Rattus norvegicus: one gene and its partners. The protein of the gene in region 1 interacts with the protein of each later gene in a pairwise test. Links are inferred from orthologs where the notes say so. Each region holds a gene or a part of one and is shown on either strand. Other genes may lie near its edges.

Region 1 (5,115 bases):
ACTAAGGTCCTTTTCCTTTAAATGCGATTCTCATGCACTTAAATAGTGATTCTTAATATTTAAAAATGTGATATATATATACATATATATATGTATATATATTGGAGAAATTTTACCAAAACCACAGCAGTCATTCAGCAGCCTTCAATAATTTTAAATGTAAGTTTGGTAAAGAATTTTTGTACAGGGACCTGGAGAACTGACAAAACTGTTAGGAGTATTTTCTGCTCTTCTGGAGGATCTGAGTTCAGTTCACAGCACCCACATAGCCAGGTTCACAACTACCTATAGCTCCAGTAACAGGGAATCTGAGGCCACTTATCTTTTGGCTGAACAGGTACCAGACCATACCATGCATGCTTTCACACAGATATACATACATACATACATACATACATACATACATACATACATACATACATACACACATACATAAAAATTTTAAAAATTTTAACTCCACTCCCTGCTCAATTTTATATGATTGTCTAATGCATTATTCACCTTATACTGAACAAAATTTGACATTCTAGCAAAGTCATGGCTGTTCCACTAGGGGGAGAAAAACACCAGTAGTATTTGTTACCAACCCTTAGCCCAAGGGTTAGGCACTTTACTTACATTATCCACCAGGTGTCAACCGAGAGAAGAAAGTTACCCCCCCCCCCCCCCCGCCTTAAAATACACAAATGTGTAATTTTATGCTTAACAAGCCAAACTCTTCAGACAAACGGCTTGCCCAGTAATTATTCTTGACATAGTTATATTCTAGATTTTTTTAGCTCACATGTCAAGTCAAATAAAATGTAATTAAATAAAAATGTAGATTTTTTTAAAATAAAGAAAACAGCAAAATAGTTCGTTTGTTGTGATTCGCCCTATCCGGATTTACCATGCAAAAAGGATCTGATGTTTAACTATAGACAACCTCGTCCGATTTTGGCTATGCATAAAACAGGATTTCATAATATAGCCATGTTATGAGGTTATGTTGACTGTTAATGATCTTAGTCTATGCCATTACCCTCTAAATCCTGGTGATGTTTAGAACTGCATTTTTTTACTCAAGGCATTGAAAAAAGGAGAAATGTGCCTGTATTTAAAGATGTAGCACGGCAATTAGCATGTTGAAGTAAAAGTAAGGCTTAAAAATTAAGCCTCATTTATGTAACAAATCATACTTAAAAACCAAAAACCACCGTATATGCTTTTCTAGCTAAGACTTTTCAGTCTGTTGTAAACAGTGTCAGCTAAATGACTATGTTCAAACTGTCTCTTATGAGGTGGTAATTAGGGGTGTGAGCTCTATTCTTATTCCTGAGGATACAGAAGTTGTAATCGCGTCATTCTCTGCAATGGAGCAGTAGGTGGTGTCTTGAAAAAGGACTTTTTCTCCCGTCGAGGAAGTGGTCGGGCCTACACACTACACAGACAACTTGGTCGAGTTTGAAGCTGTAGGAGTCTGGGAAGGCAGCTGAAGACAAGAGCTGCCTGGAGCATTGTTCTTTGGCTCCTAAGGCCTTGGCTTAGTCCATTGCCACCCTGTCTACAAAGTCCTGCTTGCTTTTGTTGTTTCTATCCAAGTCAACAATGCTTTCTAGTATGAACAATATTTGTCTGCTTTTTATTACATTTTCTTTTGAAATTCATTAGCTTAGACTGGGGCCACCAGCGGCTTGCCCAACCGGTTTCTCCCCTTCCCCCACGGCTCGCACGTCCTGCGGGTCCGCGGTACGGGCGCACACCCTGGCCTGGCGCCGCCGGGCCCCTCTACCTAGCTCGCGGAGCGCGTGCGGGGCCGGCGCTGCAGCCGCGCGGAGTGCCCGCCGGCCAATCGCTGCGGCCCATGCACCGAAGTCAGGGACGCCGGCTCCACACCTACTGTACCGGGAGCGCGCGACGAGAGGGAGGCGCGCGCCTCGCGGGAGGGAACGCGCAGGGAGGCTGGCTGCAGTCGCGGCCTGCGCCTGCGCACTGGGGTTGTTTTTCACAAAGCTGCTCTTAAAGTGAGCTGGCAGCCTCCAGCCGCCCGTCTTTGTAAGGAGACCACTGAGACGAGCAGGAGCGTGGAGCAGCGGCTTCTCTGCTGCCCTGACTTTTTAAGAAATCTCAATGAACTATTTGTAGACAATCACTGATCCTGCCTGCAAGATTTTTTTTTCTTTTGCACGGCAAAGACACCGATCAGTGTTAAGTGAAGATCACATCTTATATGCGATCTTGACTTTTTTTGGTCTTATTATATTTTTATAGATTTTGTTATAATCATGGTGCTGGGAAAGGTAAAGAGTTTGACAATAAGCTTTGACTGTCTTAATGACAGTAATGTCCCCGTGTATTCTAGCGGGGACACTGTCTCAGGAAGGGTAAATTTAGAAGTTACTGGGGAAATCAGAGTAAAATCTCTTAAAATTCATGCAAGAGGACATGCGAAAGTACGCTGGACTGAATCAAGAAACGCCGGCTCCAATACTGCCTATACACAGAATTACACTGAAGAAGTAGAATATTTCAACCATAAAGACATCTTAATTGGGCACGAAAGAGGTAAGTTTTTATATTAGTCACTACATTCTACTTCTGTGCATGAGAACTTTAATCTCCTTTAATGCAGTTCTAGTCGGCAGTTTGATGAAGGTAGCAAACTTAGAAGATGTAGTTTCTCCTTGACGTCCAAGCGTGTTAAGCTGTAATCCATGCAGGCGTCTGCAAAGTGAGTGCAAACTGCACTTAACTTCATCTGTAACCGGCTTCATATCTGCCATACGCACCTTATAACGTGTTCAAATGTGACTCCGTCGTTTTACTGATATTTTCAAATTCATTTGCAAAGACTGCAGTCCAATGTTGGATTTCTCCTTTTATTTTACAATCTTAGATACAGGAAGGAGCACCAATAAAGAACTGTAGTGACATTTTAAGAAGGTTGCTAGATGTATCTGCTTTTGATATTAACGTGCAAACGACTTTAAAGACTTGATTATTGTTCTTTGATAAAGGGTTTCCCTGGCTTATTTTGACATATGGCATCAACACCCCCACGTGTTTTCCCATTTCTCCCAATTCCTTTTAAAATGTACATCAAGCACCATTTATTTTAAAGGATAATATCTATCATTATGCAAACTATTAAGTCAGTTTAGAAGCCATTCCGGGTCAGTACTTTTCTTCTCGGAGCATCATGTCTAACTTTGGAACGTGGATTCAATGAAACCCATGGCAGACAGATGGAATTGAAAAGTATATGGCACATCGGATTTGGTTTTTGGGTACAAGATGAAGATTAAGGCATTGTCAAAGGGACAAGAGGTCCTAAGATTTGCGATCTGTTGTTTAAGTGGCTACAATGTGGAAATATAGGCGACTCCAAGCTTGTTTTTCTAAGTTTCCACCCTTTGTTAGAAGCGGTTCAATCCTGTTTCGGACCAGTTCTGGGGGATGGTGAGGAGGGGCGCTTGTTCTGCTCTCAGCAGATTGGTTACACGCGTCAGGTGGTGGCGATGACTTAATTCCTAGTCCAAGAAGAATATAATGTTAAAACTGGTTATGTAATTTGTGTTTCTTCTTTCTAATGCAGTATTTTAGTGCAAATACTGGCGATTTTTCAGATAGAGGCATGCTTTTTTTTTTAAGTATCTAAAATATACATCCTAGGGAGACGTTAATTGAACTTAACGCAAGTGAGAAATGGAGGATGCTTTAAGTTACACAGAATTAATGTACCGTCTTTTAAATATAAAGGTGAAGCCAAGTCTTGGGGTTTACGCAGCTACACCGAGGTGTTCTACATGCTGAAATGGTTCCCTAGTTCACCTTCCGCAGCGTCCACACGAATGGGCCATACAGTACCTAATGACAGCGCTCGTATTTGTTTTTTAAAAAGGGCAGATCCATGAATTTGCTTTTGAACCTGCTTTGACGTCGCACCCTTTAAAAACATAAGAAGAGACAAAGGCTTTTTCCTCGAAGAGTTAAGACTTGTAGTAGGGGGGAAAGAACGAGTTCTGTGGACACACACTTGATCCGTTGCACCACGATCTCACAGTTAAGATAACTACCTGCGCCCTGCGAGGTGCCCCAGCAAGCCTGGCTACGCGTGGACGGGCTCTTAAGGCTGGAATAGTTTCAATGACTTCAAACTGGCAGCTCGCTCAAACTAGCCTGGTAGCTGAGCGCCCGCCCCGGGCGCCCAGCGATAGGCGGAGCTGCGTTTGTTAGCCTGTTGCTAAGGCGATGCCAGGCGTTGATTGGACTGGGCACGGGGGGGGGGGGGCGAGGGGGAAGTCGAGCCGGCTCGCGCCGGCTGGGGCGAGGCTTGGAACCGGCGTGCGCCGGTAAAGGTCTCTCCCGGCCAGCCGCCTCCGCCCCTCGGCGCGCCCCTCTCCGGGTGTCCCAGGCCCCTCGCCCACTGCAGCCGCCGCAGGTTTCATTGCCCTGGGCTCAAGCTCGGTTAAAAATCCCACCAAAGGCTGATCGAGGTGCGGGCGCCAGGGTACCCCCGGGGCTGGTACCTGTGTGACCCGAGGGGACATGACACAGGACAGATAGGGGAGACATCACCGGCACCAACTGGGCCTCGCCCATTGTTCCCCGGGGCCTCCGCCTCCGCGCCGCCGCCCCAGTTCCCCCTCGCTGTAACAGCGAAGGTGTCAGGGTGGCCTGAGCCAGATTGAACCGGTCACCGGCTGGGGCGTGGAAAGCGGAAGCTCGGCTTGCTGTGGCTCCGCCTCCGGCCCAGCATTCTAGGCTGCTCGGGCGCGAGCGCCGCGCGACGTATGCCGTATGTATAGCGGGGCGCGCGGAGCGCGGCCGCGCGCGGGCGGGCCGGCTGGGATCTGCTCAGCGCCGGTTTAGGCCGGTCCTCTCCTGCTCTAGTCTAGTTCTTGATTGACAGCCAGGCACTTGTTTACCACGGCGCGGCGGCCGCAGCACTCCTCAATGAGACTGCTGAGCTGGCACAAAAGGGAGCCGAGGAAGAAAGGGAGAGAGGCGAAGTTTGGGCGCCTTGGAGGGAGCGAATTGACGGGCCATGGCTCCCCCGGCCGGTCCTCAGGGCTGACGCTGTACAGGGGCTCCCCAGGAGGCTCTGGAAGCAATGCGCAGATATGGTCAGGTCAC
Region 2 (5,244 bases), on another chromosome or scaffold:
TACATACACACACACACACACACACACAGGCATGGTTGCTTGCTTTTATAATCTTAGCACTAGAGATGAAGAGACAATAGGCTCCCTAAGGCTCTCTGGCCAGCTAGTCTAATGGATTCTGTGAGATCCAGGTTCAAGTAGAGACTCTGTCCCCAAAATAAGGTGGAAGGGCTGGAGTGACAGTTCTGGGTTAAGAGCATGCACTTCCTGCTTTTCCTGAGAATTCAAGTCTGTTCCCAACATATGTCAGGCAGCTTCTCAGCTGTCTATAATGCAAGCTCCAAGGCATCCTATAGATCCTCTGGCCTCCACGTACCTGCACTCACACACATACCCACATTCAGACATCCACACCCACACATATGCTGCTAAAATTCCTTCCTAGGGATCAGATATGTGCCTACTCCTCCCAAGGTCTCAATGACAAATCAAAGCACAATTCCACAAAAGTTTACTTTGGGGAAACAGTGAGTTTGTTGGGCTTCCTTACAGAGCATAGGTAAGGGATTTGAGACAGGGTTTCACTGTACGGTCCTGAGTGTCCTGGAACTTGATCTATCAGTCTGGCTTCAAACTCAGAGTCCAGTCTGTCTCTGCCTCAAATGCTGGGATTAAAGGCTTGTGGTACCACACCCAGCTAATAAGAATAAACCTTAAAAAATAATAAAGTGGAAAGAAATAGGGGAAGACACCTAAGTTTACCTCTGACTTTGGCATATGCAGCACAGGTACACACACACACACACACACACACACACACACACACACACACACACACCCCATACAATGAAAAAATGCACTATGCTTGCCTCACTCCAAATGTACCAACCATCTTGGCTTTGCACCACAGAATATTGGGGGTGTGTCTATTGTCTTCTTTGGTGGGGCTGACTGAGCCTCAGTTTTCTGAGGTTATGAGAGTCACCTGTCATTAGCTCAGGAAAAGAGCCAAACAGTGTCTATCCAACATTATCGTTTTTTACACCGAAGTGAAGTAGAACCATCTAAGTCCCAGAACCTACTAAAATAGTTATGTGCTATATACAGGAGCCCCACACAGCACTCAAAATAACTCCTTCAGGGGTCAAGGGCTGACAAACAAACCTTTTAATAATATTTCCTCTTTGATGTCCAGTAATTATGAGCTTGTATACAGGGTGACTCACCTACACCTGGTTCAGTATTGTGTTTTCTACACACCCCTACAGCCACAGAGCCACGCTCAACCATCTCGAACGTTCATCCATTCAACAGATATTACCTGAATGCCTGTCTGATTCATGAGTTACAAAGAAGTAAAATATTATTTGTTGCTAGACAGCAGCCGGCAGGTAACTTAAATGTCTGACACTGGGCGCGTATTTCCTAAGCGCGTGTCTTCTGATCTTGAAAGAAATACACTTATGTATGTGAACTCGTTGATTAATTAACGAGGGCCATCTAATCTTCCAGATGCCTTCAATTTGCAGTTTTAGTTAAAAGTCCTTCTGTCTTTGCAAACCGGACCTGCTTTCTGGATTGGGCTAACTCCTTTGCTAGCTAAAAGCACTCTGTGTCTTTAAAAGGAGGGCGGCCTCCTGTCAAACGGGCCCCAAAACATAGGCCGAAGGCGAGTGCAGTCCCACCCACTTTCTGTGACGTCCCGCGTCCGGGCTTCTGATTGCGGGCCTCCGACGTCAATCGCGGGCCGTGCGTCTTGCTGGGACACAGTGGAGGTCTGCGCTCCGGTCTGAGGGGCGGTCGGGTGTATTCTGCACTCACCCCACACCCGCGAGGCCCGCGCCGCCCGACCCAACGGCGGAGCCGCCCAGCGCCTCCCCTGGCACCCGCTCGCTCCTCGCTGGAGCGAGACGTGGCCCGACGGCTCCGGTCACTATGGTCAGTGGTGGCGGGACGGGGAGGGGGCGCCGCCAGGGCGCGTGTGCGTGCGCGCGGTCGGGCGCGAGGCTTTAGCCCTTTCCACCCTCGGGATGGTGAACATCGGAGTGCGCCCGCCGCGCTATCCCTTCGGGGACCCACAGCCAGAAGATCCAGCCCAGGCTGAGCCCTGCTGCCTCGTGGCCACTCTAGGTGGTCCCCAGACACCTCCTTTAAGTCCTGATGCTTATGCCTGACTGGGAAGGAATGGGATACCTCTAGGGTTGTGGTCTCTACTCTTTGTTAAGTAGCACTCGTGTAGACAGCTTGCAGTCCACCCATCACAGACTTAGCCACCACAGACAGACCATACCCCAGCCAGTTGTCCCCAGGGACGAACGATCCGACCACCCGGGCAAGCCTTAATACTCCTTGATGTAAACTCAGTTTCCTAATGGCAACAGGTCTGTAGAGTCAGGACACATGAAGAGGCAGCCCCCGGTTGTGAAAGATGAGTTAGGAGTCCAGGCAAAGTGATTTAGAAGAACTTCCTAACAGAGGAGACCCAAGAAAACCTGGGCTGGTCAAACCCGGTCAAACCCAGGGCTTGGGCAAGTGGGGAAACTGAGGCCAGACAGGGAGAAAAGAAAGCTGGTAGGGATTGTGGTGGTGCAACAGCTAGGACTTGGACCCAAGCCCCTGGTCCAGTGTTCTGTGTTGCATCAGCCTACCCTCCAGGTTGCCATGGGGTCAGGCCTCCTACAGGGGATTGGATATGCTGGTTAGCCTATGTTATTCAACTTCCAGCAAAGGGCTCCAGGGAGCCTGACCATCTAGTGCTACTGGTCAACTTGGGGTCACTTAGTTCTGGGATTGCCTGCTCTTTCTGTTTTGTTTGGTGATGCTGGGTTTTGAACCGTTTTTCATGCATGCTAGATAAGGCTTGACTGCTAAGCTACACTCCAGTCTACTTAAGTCTGGGCTATCCCAATGGTTATTATGAGGAGTTGGGGTGGGGGGTGGCAGGGAGTGCAGGGGTGGGGAGATGGGGGGGGAGGGAGTGGCATGGGTGGTGGTGGTGGTGGTGGATGTGGTTTTCAACTAGGGTGTTTGAAATCCAGAGATTGGGTGGTGCAGGTGCCTGGTTCTTTGTGCTTGCCCCTCCTCCCACATTTGGGTCACTACTTCGGGACACTGTGAGGCTAGGGCCAGAGTCAAACCTGTGCTGGTATGGATAGACAGCCAGGGTATCTTCTTACAAGTCATTCTCCTGCCCTGTGGGGGAGGGGTGCAGTGTGTGTGTGTGTGTGTGTGTGTGTGTGTGTGTATCTCTCTGTGTGTGTCCGTGTGTGTGTGTCTGTGTGTGTGTCTGTGTGTCTGTGTGTGTGTGTGTAACTCAAAACTGGGGACGGACTGTAAGCACTAGTTTCCTGCTTGTTCTTGGTAACCCAAGGGTTTACTTGCTCTGCTGCTCTTGGAAAGCGGCCCAGGTATTTCTGCATTACCTGCCAGAGAATCGGGCTGTTGAAATGACAGTTTTAGCCACGCAGAATGGAGAGAGGATGGAGGATGGAGGAGGCTGTGTAGCTTCTGGCCACCAATGGTGGGTAGCAGATAGCAGACCAGTGCAGTAGGGACTGGGACCCCAACTTGTGTCCCTTACTGAATAGCTGGATCTGACCTGAACCCAGGAGACCAGCAGCTGGGACCCAAAGCAACTTCCCTCTGGGGAGTTTGGGTGCCTTGGAGAGGGAAGGGGAACAGGAGAAGAGAGGAAAGAGAGAGGAGAGGAAAGAGAGAGGAGAGGAAAGAGAGAAGAGAGAGAGATAATAGTTAAAACCCACCAAATAGGACATCTGCCTGGGAGTCACGAGGACAGAACTAGATGCTGTTTACATTGTGTTTATTATACACCCACTGTGTATTCGCCACCTTGTTAAGTCCTGAGGCCCATGGCTCATTTACCTGTAATGTGTTTAATGCGTTTAAATGTTGGCTGAGGTTACATGGCATGGGTGGTAGATGCAGTCTTAGGACTGACAGAATCTTCCTCTGTTTCCATGTCAGTGCCAGACAGAAGCCATGGAGTCCTTGGGAGTCAGGGCTGCAGACAGTGAGGGGCTCACCCTCACTATGTGTGCGTTTGCTCTTGGGGATGAGTGAGTGTGAGTATAGGCAGTCCGGGCACCCGTTCCTGTCTGCCTTCTTCTCTCGTGCATTAAAGAAACCAACGCTGGCATCCCCAGCCTATTTTGGGGCAGTGATAAGAAAGAACGACACCTGCCCTCTCCCGGAGTTCATGCTCTTGGGCTGGGTCACAGCTCCTGAATTACTGAGATGGCCTGAGAGCCCAACAGGGGCCTTGCACAGAGGAGCACGGTACCCTTCACCCGTAGGAAAAAGCTGGTGCTCAAGGTTGTATAGGAACATTCAGGAAGGACTGGCAAAGAGTACATTGCAGGTAGCAGGGAGATTGCCTTGGGACATGGTCAAGTGTGGGCATCCTGGGAAGAGTAAGATTGGGGGAGGCTGGGGGGAGCCCAGGGCAGTGAATCTGGGACAGGGGACAGGATCAGGGCTTTGCATGGGGGGCGGGCTGTTTAGTTTGGGTTGTCTGTACATGAGGGAACTGTTAGCATTTTTGACGAATATGGAATGGTTGCTAGCTCTGTCTGTCTGATGCTGGGTTGTGGGTGGCCAGCTGGAGGGAGAGGCAGGCTCGCTCATTCAGCATGCTTGCCGGTGCTACTGCAACAAAACCCTTCCGTGGGCCAGATCCACAGGGACTGCTTTTCCGATGAGTCTGGAGGCTGAGGTCTCAGGTGAATGTGCAGGGAGGGGCAGAGTCCCTCTGAAGGTGCTTAGGAATGTTCTACCCCCAGCTTCCCCAAGCTTCCCGCAGTAGCCTGCCTTATGACGTTGGAACTCCTCCACAGATGGCTCTCTTCTGTGCGTGTGTTTATAGTCCTCTTTTAATAAGGAAACCAGTCATGGGGCTGGTGGCCTAGCCTGCTCCATTGTGACCTCATCTTAACTAATTATATCACCGATGTCCCTATTCCAAAATTAAAAAAGAAAAATCATTCTGAGGCCCAGAGCTCCGGCTTCAGTAGTTCGGTTTGAAGCACTCGGGATACATTTTTAGAATGCATTCCAACATTCCTGAACATGGAGATCTGGCAGTGACAGATGACCGGCCCCTACCCTTGTGGAGTTGACATGGGAGTGGAGGGGCACACACCAGCCAGTGAGCCCACCTGTCAGATCCTGTCTCGAACGAGCAAGATAAGTAGATAGAATGGTGGGGGAGGGCAGGGAGGCTTCTCTTCTGAGGTGGCATCTCCCAAGCCATGTAAAGAGGCAGAACCTCGAGACAGAAGAAGCAGA
Region 3 (3,812 bases), on another chromosome or scaffold:
TTCAGACTGAACCCGACCTCATGCACTGCCGGTAACCAGGTCTACTCTCAGCCCACCAGGACACAGTCTTGGTTACCAACCGGACGGCCATGGCCATGATGAGGGAAGAGCTTATCTGGTCTACTTTGCTCAAAGACACTTGAAGCCACTGTCCCAGGGCCCACCCTTCCCGTGGCACTCAGGGGTCTGGACGACAGCACCACTCTGGCTGGCAGTTTGAGGCCCCCTTCTTCCGGGACCAATCAATGTGTCCGCACTTAGCCGTACATCTGCTTGAACTGGTAGCACTCATTGCAGTAACCATTACACTTGGCATTGCCAAAGTGATCGCAAGCAGGGGCCCGGCAGCGCTGCTTAGGGGGCTCTTCAGGAGTGGGCTCACCCCGGTGGGCCAAAGAAGCTATTCGCTGGCTTAGGTGCTGGCACTCCATACAGAGTTCCTCACTGCGACAAGCCAGGATGTTCTTGCAAGAGGCCCGGGCACACTTCGGCCTTGAGGCTCCCTGTGTGGTTCGAGGCATTTCTCTACGCTGGCTTGATCTCTGAGTGGGAAGAGAGAGAGAGAGAGAGAGAGAGAGAGAGAGAGAGAGAGAGAGAGAGAGAGAGAGAGAGGTGTTACATTTCTCAGGAGACCAGAGGGACTTCAAATTAACAGGGTGGATTCTACCGAGTGTTCGATCTGCCTGAGTGGGAGAAGTGTATGTGTAACTGAGGACCGCCAATCCCAGGAGAAGCCGACCGCCTGGTTCTGTCCGAGGGAACATTTTTGTCTGTTTGTTTGTGTGTTGTTTGTGTTTTCCCGACATGCCAGTAAATGGAAGCAGCCTCGGTGTTTGGGATAAAGGACTGTTTGGAAAGTCTGCTTCTCCTTCATTTCTAACATGTCCCTCCCTGATCACCCTGGCTTTCGGGACGCTTGCAGGAGGTTTCAGTCTACAGCTGACTGCACTGGCTTTTCAGAATAAATTCTAAGTGTACTTAGGCCATGCAATATTTCCACCCCGGGAGCCAATGAAATGTGGTTGGCTTTTCCAGGCTCTCTTCCGGCAGACTTTTCAAAGAGGCCCTTTGTCATAAGGAGACAGTCTATCTGTCATGGATGAAGGACCTGGATACCAGAGGGGTCAAGCTCCACCAAATGTCTCACCAGTTGTTCTTCAGGCCTTTTGGCTTCATGAAATCTCTGGTTCTGAGCTTCAATGAAACACTTCTGACAGTACCCTTCAAACATGGTGCTTCCCAGGGTGCCACACTCCCTGCCCAGGCACGGGATGTTGTTCTGGAATCTGGGGGCCGAGGAAGCGGCTTTCCCAGAGGCGGTGACAGACTCTACAAAAGAGTAGGTGCTATTCAGTATCACATCCGGGTTACAGTGCACACACACACACACACACACACACACACACACACACACACACACACACAGATGTTAGAGAAGAAATGGATCCCAGCCTAGGTTCGCACAACTTTTAAGCAGGTGCTTAAGACCAAACTTACGTCAGCGAACATCTTTGGATCTACTGATATTAATTTAACTTTGAATACGGATCACCGATCTGTCAAAGACCAAACAGCAGACACGAGCTGTTTACCAGTCCTTAAGCCACAAATGTTTTCCTGGCATCCGTAAATACTTCCTGTTCTTTATTAGCTATCTTTAGACCATCTCACCAACATCGCTGAAGTCTAAACTCTCCATGGATGGCAGATACTCAATAGCCTTATTAAAATCAGCCCACAGTTTGGTGTGGCAGTACATGTAGAAATCCCAGCACTCAGGGGTCAGAAGCATAAAGATTGCCAGGACTCTGAGGCCACCCTGGGCTACATAATGGGTTCATCTTGGGCTAGCATGAACTACATCTCTAGGATACTTTTAATTTAGAGTACGTGGTAACTAGAGCTGCTGTAATGAGATGGTGTTTACTGCTTTCAGGTACAAAAGCAGAGCAACGACAACTGTCCCCAGGCACAAACCAACTGCTGAGGTAGGCTACTTTCTTGACACTCAGGGTCCTGTCTAGACAGTAGCTACTGCAATGGGCAATCTATGATTTCACTCACGTTTATTTTCTCTGTATTCGATGAAACATAGCGTGCAAAAGCCCTTGTTTTCCGGAGTCCCAAAATACATGCAGCCAGCTTTTCTGCACTTGCTTGTCCCAGTTCTGTCTGCTGGAGTCCGTGATGTCTGGGAAAGGTAGCCAGAGGGGACGGCATTTCCAGTTCGGTGGCAAGAGTGTGGGGTGAGACTTTGGATGAGTTGTGAGGGGTCAGACTTGGAGCGCTGGTGACAGGAGGGAGGGACACTGGAAGTGAGGCTGGAGGTGGGCTCTGCCGTAGTCCTTTTGAAACAGGTACTACAGATGCCGTTAAACGTCCGAGTGACATCCTGAAGGCAGGCTTGGCACTTACCGGGGTCTGCGGTGTGGCTGGCGCTCATCTGCCGCGCATTGTGACAACGCTCACAGAATCCGTTGTGTTGCACGTTCAGCGTGAAAGGGCACCCGGGGCTCCTGCACTTCATTGCAGTGGTCTCACTGAACAGGAAAAGGCTGGGGGCCGTGGGTGGGGCCGAATGGGGGCCTCCAGCTGTTTCCTCGGGGTTCCAGTTCGAGGAGCCAAGTCCCACCGCTGGGAGTCCTCCCTCAGGGCCCAGCTTCGAGTTCAGCTTTGGGAGTTTGCTCTGGTTCTTTTGACGCCTCTCGGAGCACTCGTGGCATAAAGGCTGAGTGTTGACGGACATGAAGAAAGGACAGTTGGGCGTCTCACATTTTATATCCATGAGTGATAGCTGGGGTGTGGAAGCCTCCAAAGGGTTCTGCGCATGCGCCCCTCTCCTGCCCTGATCGCCGTTTTCTTGCCACTTCTTGTATTCGTGCTGAACAAGCTCGAAGTAGTCGTCTACCAGATTTATTTCTTTGGGTAGATTAGCTTCATCTAACCTAGAGGACAAACAGGGAAATAAGTGAATCCAAGGAACACAAGACCGTATACCATTAGCTCCTAGACCACATTTCCGGAATGCGGTCCAGGGCCATGACTTCACAGTCAGCACCAAAATGCAGGCTTGTAACAGGACAGGTCCAGGGCACATCCTGTCACGCCCTCCCGTCAAGAAGGCACAACAAAGGAGACTGCTTACTTGGCAGCATTGATCAGGTGAGTCGTGCCGTGGTCCCAGCCTTGCACCGGGATCTCCAGCACCATCAAGTACTCCTTGAGAAGCTTTTCCTTCATCTCATGTTCAGGGTCTGTCAAAAAGTGAACCTTCAAGTCTTCAAACCTACCCCGCTCTCTGTTAACAAGTGGAACAGCTCGAATTTCTGAAGGAAGAAAAAAAAAATTAGTGAGTGAGTAAAACACGATGGTGCAGATGAGGTCGTAAAATGATCCAAATTTAAAGATACAAAAGGCATAGAAGAGTAGAAAAGCATCTTCCAGCCACACTTAAGCCCAAACCAGAAAAAAAAATGTGAGAAACACTTTGTTTCCAGGGAGGTCACAGAACGCCAAGGGACCCAAGGCTCACAGACTGCTTTTCAGCAAAGACTTCATTTGTGGTCTCGCATTCTTATTGTAGCCAAAAGGCTGAGAAGCAGTTTTTAGTTTTTGCTTAGAATACAGAGGTTCTGTACTTTTTTCTGTGCCTTTACAAATAGACACACAAATGCTCTTTGGCTGTAATTGAGCTTCTCTCCCTGTCCTTCCTGCTGCCCTGTCTTTCAACATTGTCTGCCTTCTACTTCTACTGTCTTACCCTTTAAAACGAAATCCAGATTCCATATATGAGACAAAAAAGTGTTGCTATC
Region 4 (5,013 bases), on another chromosome or scaffold:
GCTTTCATCATCATTGGTTCAACCTGGAGTTGGTTCAAAACCATGGTAGCTCTTCTAAATGCAGGCCTTCAACAGACCGGAAGTTTTATACGACAAACTTATAAAACAGATACGTACAGCAAAGGCCTGGGAGAATCGGGAAGCACAGTGATGATGACGCGTCCAAAGACACTACATGTGACGTCACCACCCTCATCCTAGTCCCTTTGTTCATAACAAACAGTAAGGCTGTTTGAATAGCTGTCAAACACTCACAAGACATCCGGCCTGTGCTCCCACCTCTCCTGTAAATGGAGGGCATCATTCTCCATGGCTAAGACACCTTTTATGAGCAATAAAGTCACTTAATAGAACACTGAAATTTTATGTCAGTTATGTTTCCCGTCTAGCTCAAAAAGTCTGAGCATATTTCTTAGGGTTTCTTATTTGACTTTAACCTTCTCATTACTTGGGTTTAATATTTGTACTCTTTCTCAGCTTGCTTCTTTGAGCTAAAATATACCTAAAGTTAAAAGCCTTGTAAGTAGGTACCCTATAGCTTGCTGGATAAGCAGGTGTATAGGGAAACAGAAAGAAGCATTCTTAGGATTAGATGCTCTCAGGGGCAGGACACCGTGGGCACTCTTAAGAGATGTGAAATCAGTGAGAAACTGTTCTATGTATCTGAAACCTGAGGCAATCCATCACACGGCAGACACCAGAACTGCAGGAAAGTGGCTCCCTTACACTGCGGCCACGGCTATGACTGCTGTGTGCTGAGTCAGTCGTGAAGTGCGCACTCGTTTCGATACTCTTTATGTGCACACCTGATAATGTGTAAACTCTACAGTTACTGAATAGGCCACTCTGTGATGTAGTGGGCTACAACCTGAAACTGAAACATCCATGACTACAGCAGAAGACCAGAAGAGTAAAGGACTAAAACTACTACTGAAGGTCTGGGGGATGGGGCTCAGTTCCAGAGCGCCTGCCAAGCATGTATGTTAAGGCCTGGGTTCCATACAGAACACTTCCCCAGAATCTTCTGAAATGGCTAAACAGAAGCATCGCTTCTATAGTTTTACAGCTTAAAAAAGTCGTTTCTACTTTTCATCTAAGATACCTTATCTGACCCAAAGTTTTACCTACTAATGACAGATCCTCCTGAGGCCACTGATAAGCACTACAAAAACCATTCAGAAACAAAGGCTCTGTATCCCATTTTCAAATGTCAAAAGTTAAGAGACTCTCTGCTGGATTACAGAAAAAAAGGGGACAACGTGATCGTGTACTCTGGGACAATTAATTCATATGAGAGGAGACCCTCTATAGATAATTCAAATTAACTCTGTGTCAAATTGGTGTCTCGTCTCTCTAAAGTATAAATGAGTAGGCTCCTGCATTAAAACTTCCACATATTATCTTTACTAGCATTTTAAAATTAATTCCTAAAGAGCTAATTCCCTAATCTAGAAGGAAGCTAGGTTCCAGGGATCTCACTAAACACAAATGCATCCTCCAACGACAGTTTCAAAGAACTTAAGGCACCTCAAGTGGTATTTTTACTTCAGATTCAGAGCAAACCGTAGTCCCTAACTAAACATAAATGCATTACATTTAAGAATTGAAACACTCATTTTCTAAGCTTTGTTGACTATACGCTCTGTGATGTCATGGGGTTCTGGAAATTCCCTGCCAGCACATAGAGAGTGAAAGTAGCCTGTTTCAGAAAAACTAAAGGATCTGGCTGCAAATCCCAGCGAGGAAAGCAACAGTACTGCAGTCCACATTACTATCCAAATCACCAAATATCAAGATTTTCAAAAGCTCAGGAAAGCAAGAATTCATTTGTGCTGCTCCGACAGGAAAATGTGAACTTGTCGTTGACGTCCCGGTTTCTCTACTTGGGATTTCTGAACTTTTCCAAAACGTGAAATGTTGTATGTTATGTGCCGATCATGTAGCGCTACCCAGCTTTCCAAGTGACTGAAAAGATATTTATTCGAAAAATAAAAGTGGAGCACCTGACTGGGGGAAGTGCTGTGCCCTAGGGGAAAGAGCTCAAGGTACGGCATATGAAAACACTCCATCTTCATCGCACACAAACGAAACTGCAAAGCGCCCAGGAGCATCCTGACTGCCTGAGTAAAGACAAATATTTAGATTCCCAAGACTCGGACTTGGTTATCGCATCTCTAGAGCGTGTTTTTCAAAATGCAAGGATTTAAAACTAAGACGAGCTCTTAAAAATCTTTCTGAACAGTAAGGCAATCAGAGGCAAGTCCTAGCAAATTCTTTTGTACTTTAAAATGGAAATACTCGAGTAGACCCTCAAAATGACACAATGCAGGGTTGGACGATAAGAGTCTTGCAAACCAGCAAATGGGTCCAAGAGCTGCCACCAAGCCCAGGGTGATGATGTCTCTCTAATGCGGCCTTAATTTCCTTTAGGGAAGATGGATGGGGCATTTCTGGTTAGTCGTGGGAAAAGACGCAAGAAGCCAGGCTTTATGTTCATTAGAATTGGAAAAAGGCAAATGGATCAAAACATTAGGAGCAAAGAAGGGGGTGGGTGGGGGTGGGGGGACAGAGGGAATCCAGTTTCCAATCAGGCCAGTGGGGGCTGCAGAGAAGCCAGAGGAAAACCGGCTTCGGAGCCAAACTGTGCCAAGCACCAGGCATTACAAAAGACCAGTGTGACGCCCCCCACCCCGGGGCATCACGCACACACTCAGCCGGTATTCCCGGGCGGGCCCTCGCCCGCTTGGACACCTCGTGTAGCAATTATGCAATTAGGGAAGAGCTCGGGACAGCCGGGCACTTTGCACCGCGACATCCATCCTGGACTTTGCGGAGACTTAGTTCCTGGCTGCGGTGGGCGCGGGAGGGGAGAGGACAGGTCCTCGAAGGCGAAGGAGGGCCACACTCTGCGGGAGGGGGGAGGGGCGCGCGGGCCCCAGCGGGCACGCGCAGGGCCAGGGAGGCCTGCGGGGCCGCGGGCGCGCGCCCGAGCCGAGGCCGCGGCGGGGGCGGGGATCTCGCCGGTCTGCCCCTCGCCGCGTGGGGTCCCCGCGCGCCCTACGCCGGGGCTCCGGCCGCGGCCACGCCCGCCCGCCCGCGCCTACTCACCTCGCGGCGCCGCCCGCGCTCCAGCCGCGGCTCGGACGCCGAGTCCGGGAGTGAAGCCGCCGCCTCCGCGAGCCGCCGCTGCCGCCGCCGCCCGCCGTCCGCGCGCGCCCCCTCCCAAGCGCGCACTCGCCCTGCCTGCCCCGAGAGCCCGCGACAGCGCGAGCCCCACGTCGGCCTCGCGGTGCCGCGCCCGCGAGCCCGCGACGCGCTTTGGCCCCGCCCCCGCCGGCGCGTGCCCGCGCGCGGGGGGGACCAGTAAGGTGCGCGCGCAAAAGTAAAGTGACAGCTGAGTCCTGGGCCCGGTAAAGGCGGGTTAGGGCGAAGGGAAATGGAGGAGGGAAATCGAGGCTCGACGGCGGCGCGAAGGGAGGGACGCGAGGACCTTGACGAGCGCGCGCAGTAAAGGGACACGCATTAAAGGGACACGCGGGCTAAGGGGTGGGGGTGCGTTTCAGGAGGGTGCAGTGCGGCGGAGTTGGATGAAGGGTAGGGAGACCCCCTCCCCCCCGACCCACACACACCATGCACCCACCAGCTTGTGCTCGTGCAGGACCCACCTGCCCCGCGGTTGGGAAACTTCGCGTGGGCCCGGATGAAGCCTCGCTTTACCCCATAACTGCTGCAGGAAAGGTCCTGCTGAGCCTAGTTCTGTCCAGGAATGCTGGCTGCCACCCTGGGAGGCTGCGGAGGGCGGGGCGGGGCGGGGCGAAGGGTGCAGCACTATCAGAGTGAGTGGGAGGCTGCCACTGAAAGACCCGCGTGGGACAGTAGCTGTGCTGTGAGTGGCCTGAGGAATATCAGGTTTCCCAGTCATTGTAGCCCAAAATAGGCACTGAAGAAAAAATTGCACATTCTGGGTTAACTCAGCACCCATGAACTCACCTCATCACCACCACCACCACCACCACCACCCACACACACACACACACACACACACACACACACACACACACACACACACACGGCCCTCCAGCCTATCATAACAGCTAAGATCTAAGACTACTCTTAACTTCTGTGAGGATTCTTGGGAGCGGTTGAGCCCATGCAGTAGTTCTGCCCAACAGAAAGGGCTGGGACCTCCATTCTCACGGATGAGAGGGGAAGACCCATTACGCTCCAAGACACTTGAACAGTGATAGCCAATACATAGGAAACCATGGGGAACCCAGCCTAACAGCCTAACACCTAACAGGTGGCCATAGGCCACCATGAGAATGTGAAGCCCTGAGTCAATCAAGAACTAGTGAAAAAAGACGCCAGAGACTAGAGCAATACAAGACCCAGAACCGGCTTCTGGAACAGAAAATGCTTCCACGAGATGCATTCTTCAAGAGTTGGCTTTTAACTAATTAAGTCACTGAAAACTGCCCCAAGCAGCTAATGGTGTCTAGCCTGGAACTCACCACTGAGGAAAAATAACAGCACCTTTGTCCTTAGGAATGTCAGCTCAAGAATGTTTGGGAGGGAGGGTTGGAAATGGTGAAACCTGGTTTTCTGGTTTGTGTGGCCACGTACAGCTGTCTCATGGTGTATTAGGAGAATACTAATACATGTACTAGTACAGTGTGTTAGTAGAAATGCATCATGTTTAAATATTATCAAATACAGTATTTCACAGACAGTCTTAAGTGTCTATATAAATTATCTTCCCTCATGGAATCTTTGCACGTTCTCGGTTTGCAAATATCCTGATCGTTTCAAGAGTACAGACATAGGGAAGACTTGGTTGTGTTTTGAAACTCTTTAAAAATTGTTTTGTTTTGATGCTGGGATTGGACCCAGGGCTTCAACAGGCTAAGCAGGCACAGGAGTTCTGCCACTGAACTCTACCCTGTGCCCCTGGTAGCCTACGCTTCTGTGTGTGCTGTTGGCTTACAGTGAATGTTTCATGAGGAAGCGTGCTTC

Evidence for each region.
Region 2: the proteins of Arrdc3 (region 1) and Otub2 interact in binary tests that used the Homo sapiens proteins (3 or more experiments, as listed by UniProt). The two-hybrid records come from large-scale screens. The link is inferred for Rattus norvegicus from reciprocal best matches to the Homo sapiens genes ARRDC3 and OTUB2.
Region 3: the proteins of Arrdc3 (region 1) and Tnfaip3 interact in binary tests that used the Homo sapiens proteins (3 or more experiments, as listed by UniProt). The two-hybrid records come from large-scale screens. The link is inferred for Rattus norvegicus from reciprocal best matches to the Homo sapiens genes ARRDC3 and TNFAIP3.
Region 4: the proteins of Arrdc3 (region 1) and Ube2e2 interact in binary tests that used the Homo sapiens proteins (3 or more experiments, as listed by UniProt). The two-hybrid records come from large-scale screens. The link is inferred for Rattus norvegicus from reciprocal best matches to the Homo sapiens genes ARRDC3 and UBE2E2.

What each region holds. Positions count from the first base shown.
Region 1 is NC_086020.1:12,871,174-12,876,288, forward strand, and holds the start of Arrdc3 (arrestin domain-containing protein 3), read left to right. Parts: upstream 1-2,028; 5' UTR 2,029-2,264; coding exon 2,265-2,544; exon of another isoform or gene 2,545-3,509; intron 3,510-3,720; exon of another isoform or gene 3,721-3,857; intron 3,858-4,745; exon of another isoform or gene 4,746-5,092; coding exon of another isoform or gene 5,093-5,105; intron 5,106-5,115. UniProt on the Homo sapiens protein: Adapter protein that plays a role in regulating cell-surface expression of adrenergic receptors and probably also other G protein-coupled receptors.
Region 2 is NC_086024.1:128,308,185-128,313,428, forward strand, and holds the start of Otub2 (ubiquitin thioesterase OTUB2), read left to right. Parts: upstream 1-1,678; 5' UTR 1,679-1,875; coding exon 1,876-1,878; intron 1,879-5,244. UniProt on the Homo sapiens protein: Hydrolase that can remove conjugated ubiquitin from proteins in vitro and may therefore play an important regulatory role at the level of protein turnover by preventing degradation.
Region 3 is NC_086019.1:15,530,474-15,534,285, forward strand, and holds part of Tnfaip3 (TNF alpha induced protein 3), read right to left. Parts: intron 3,327-3,812; coding exon 3,146-3,326; intron 2,946-3,145; coding exon 2,065-2,945; intron 1,330-2,064; coding exon 1,148-1,329; intron 543-1,147; coding exon 258-542; 3' UTR 1-257. UniProt on the Homo sapiens protein: Ubiquitin-editing enzyme that contains both ubiquitin ligase and deubiquitinase activities.
Region 4 is NC_086033.1:9,409,825-9,414,837, reverse strand, and holds the start of Ube2e2 (ubiquitin-conjugating enzyme E2 E2), read right to left. Parts: upstream 3,219-5,013; 5' UTR 3,109-3,218; intron 1-3,108.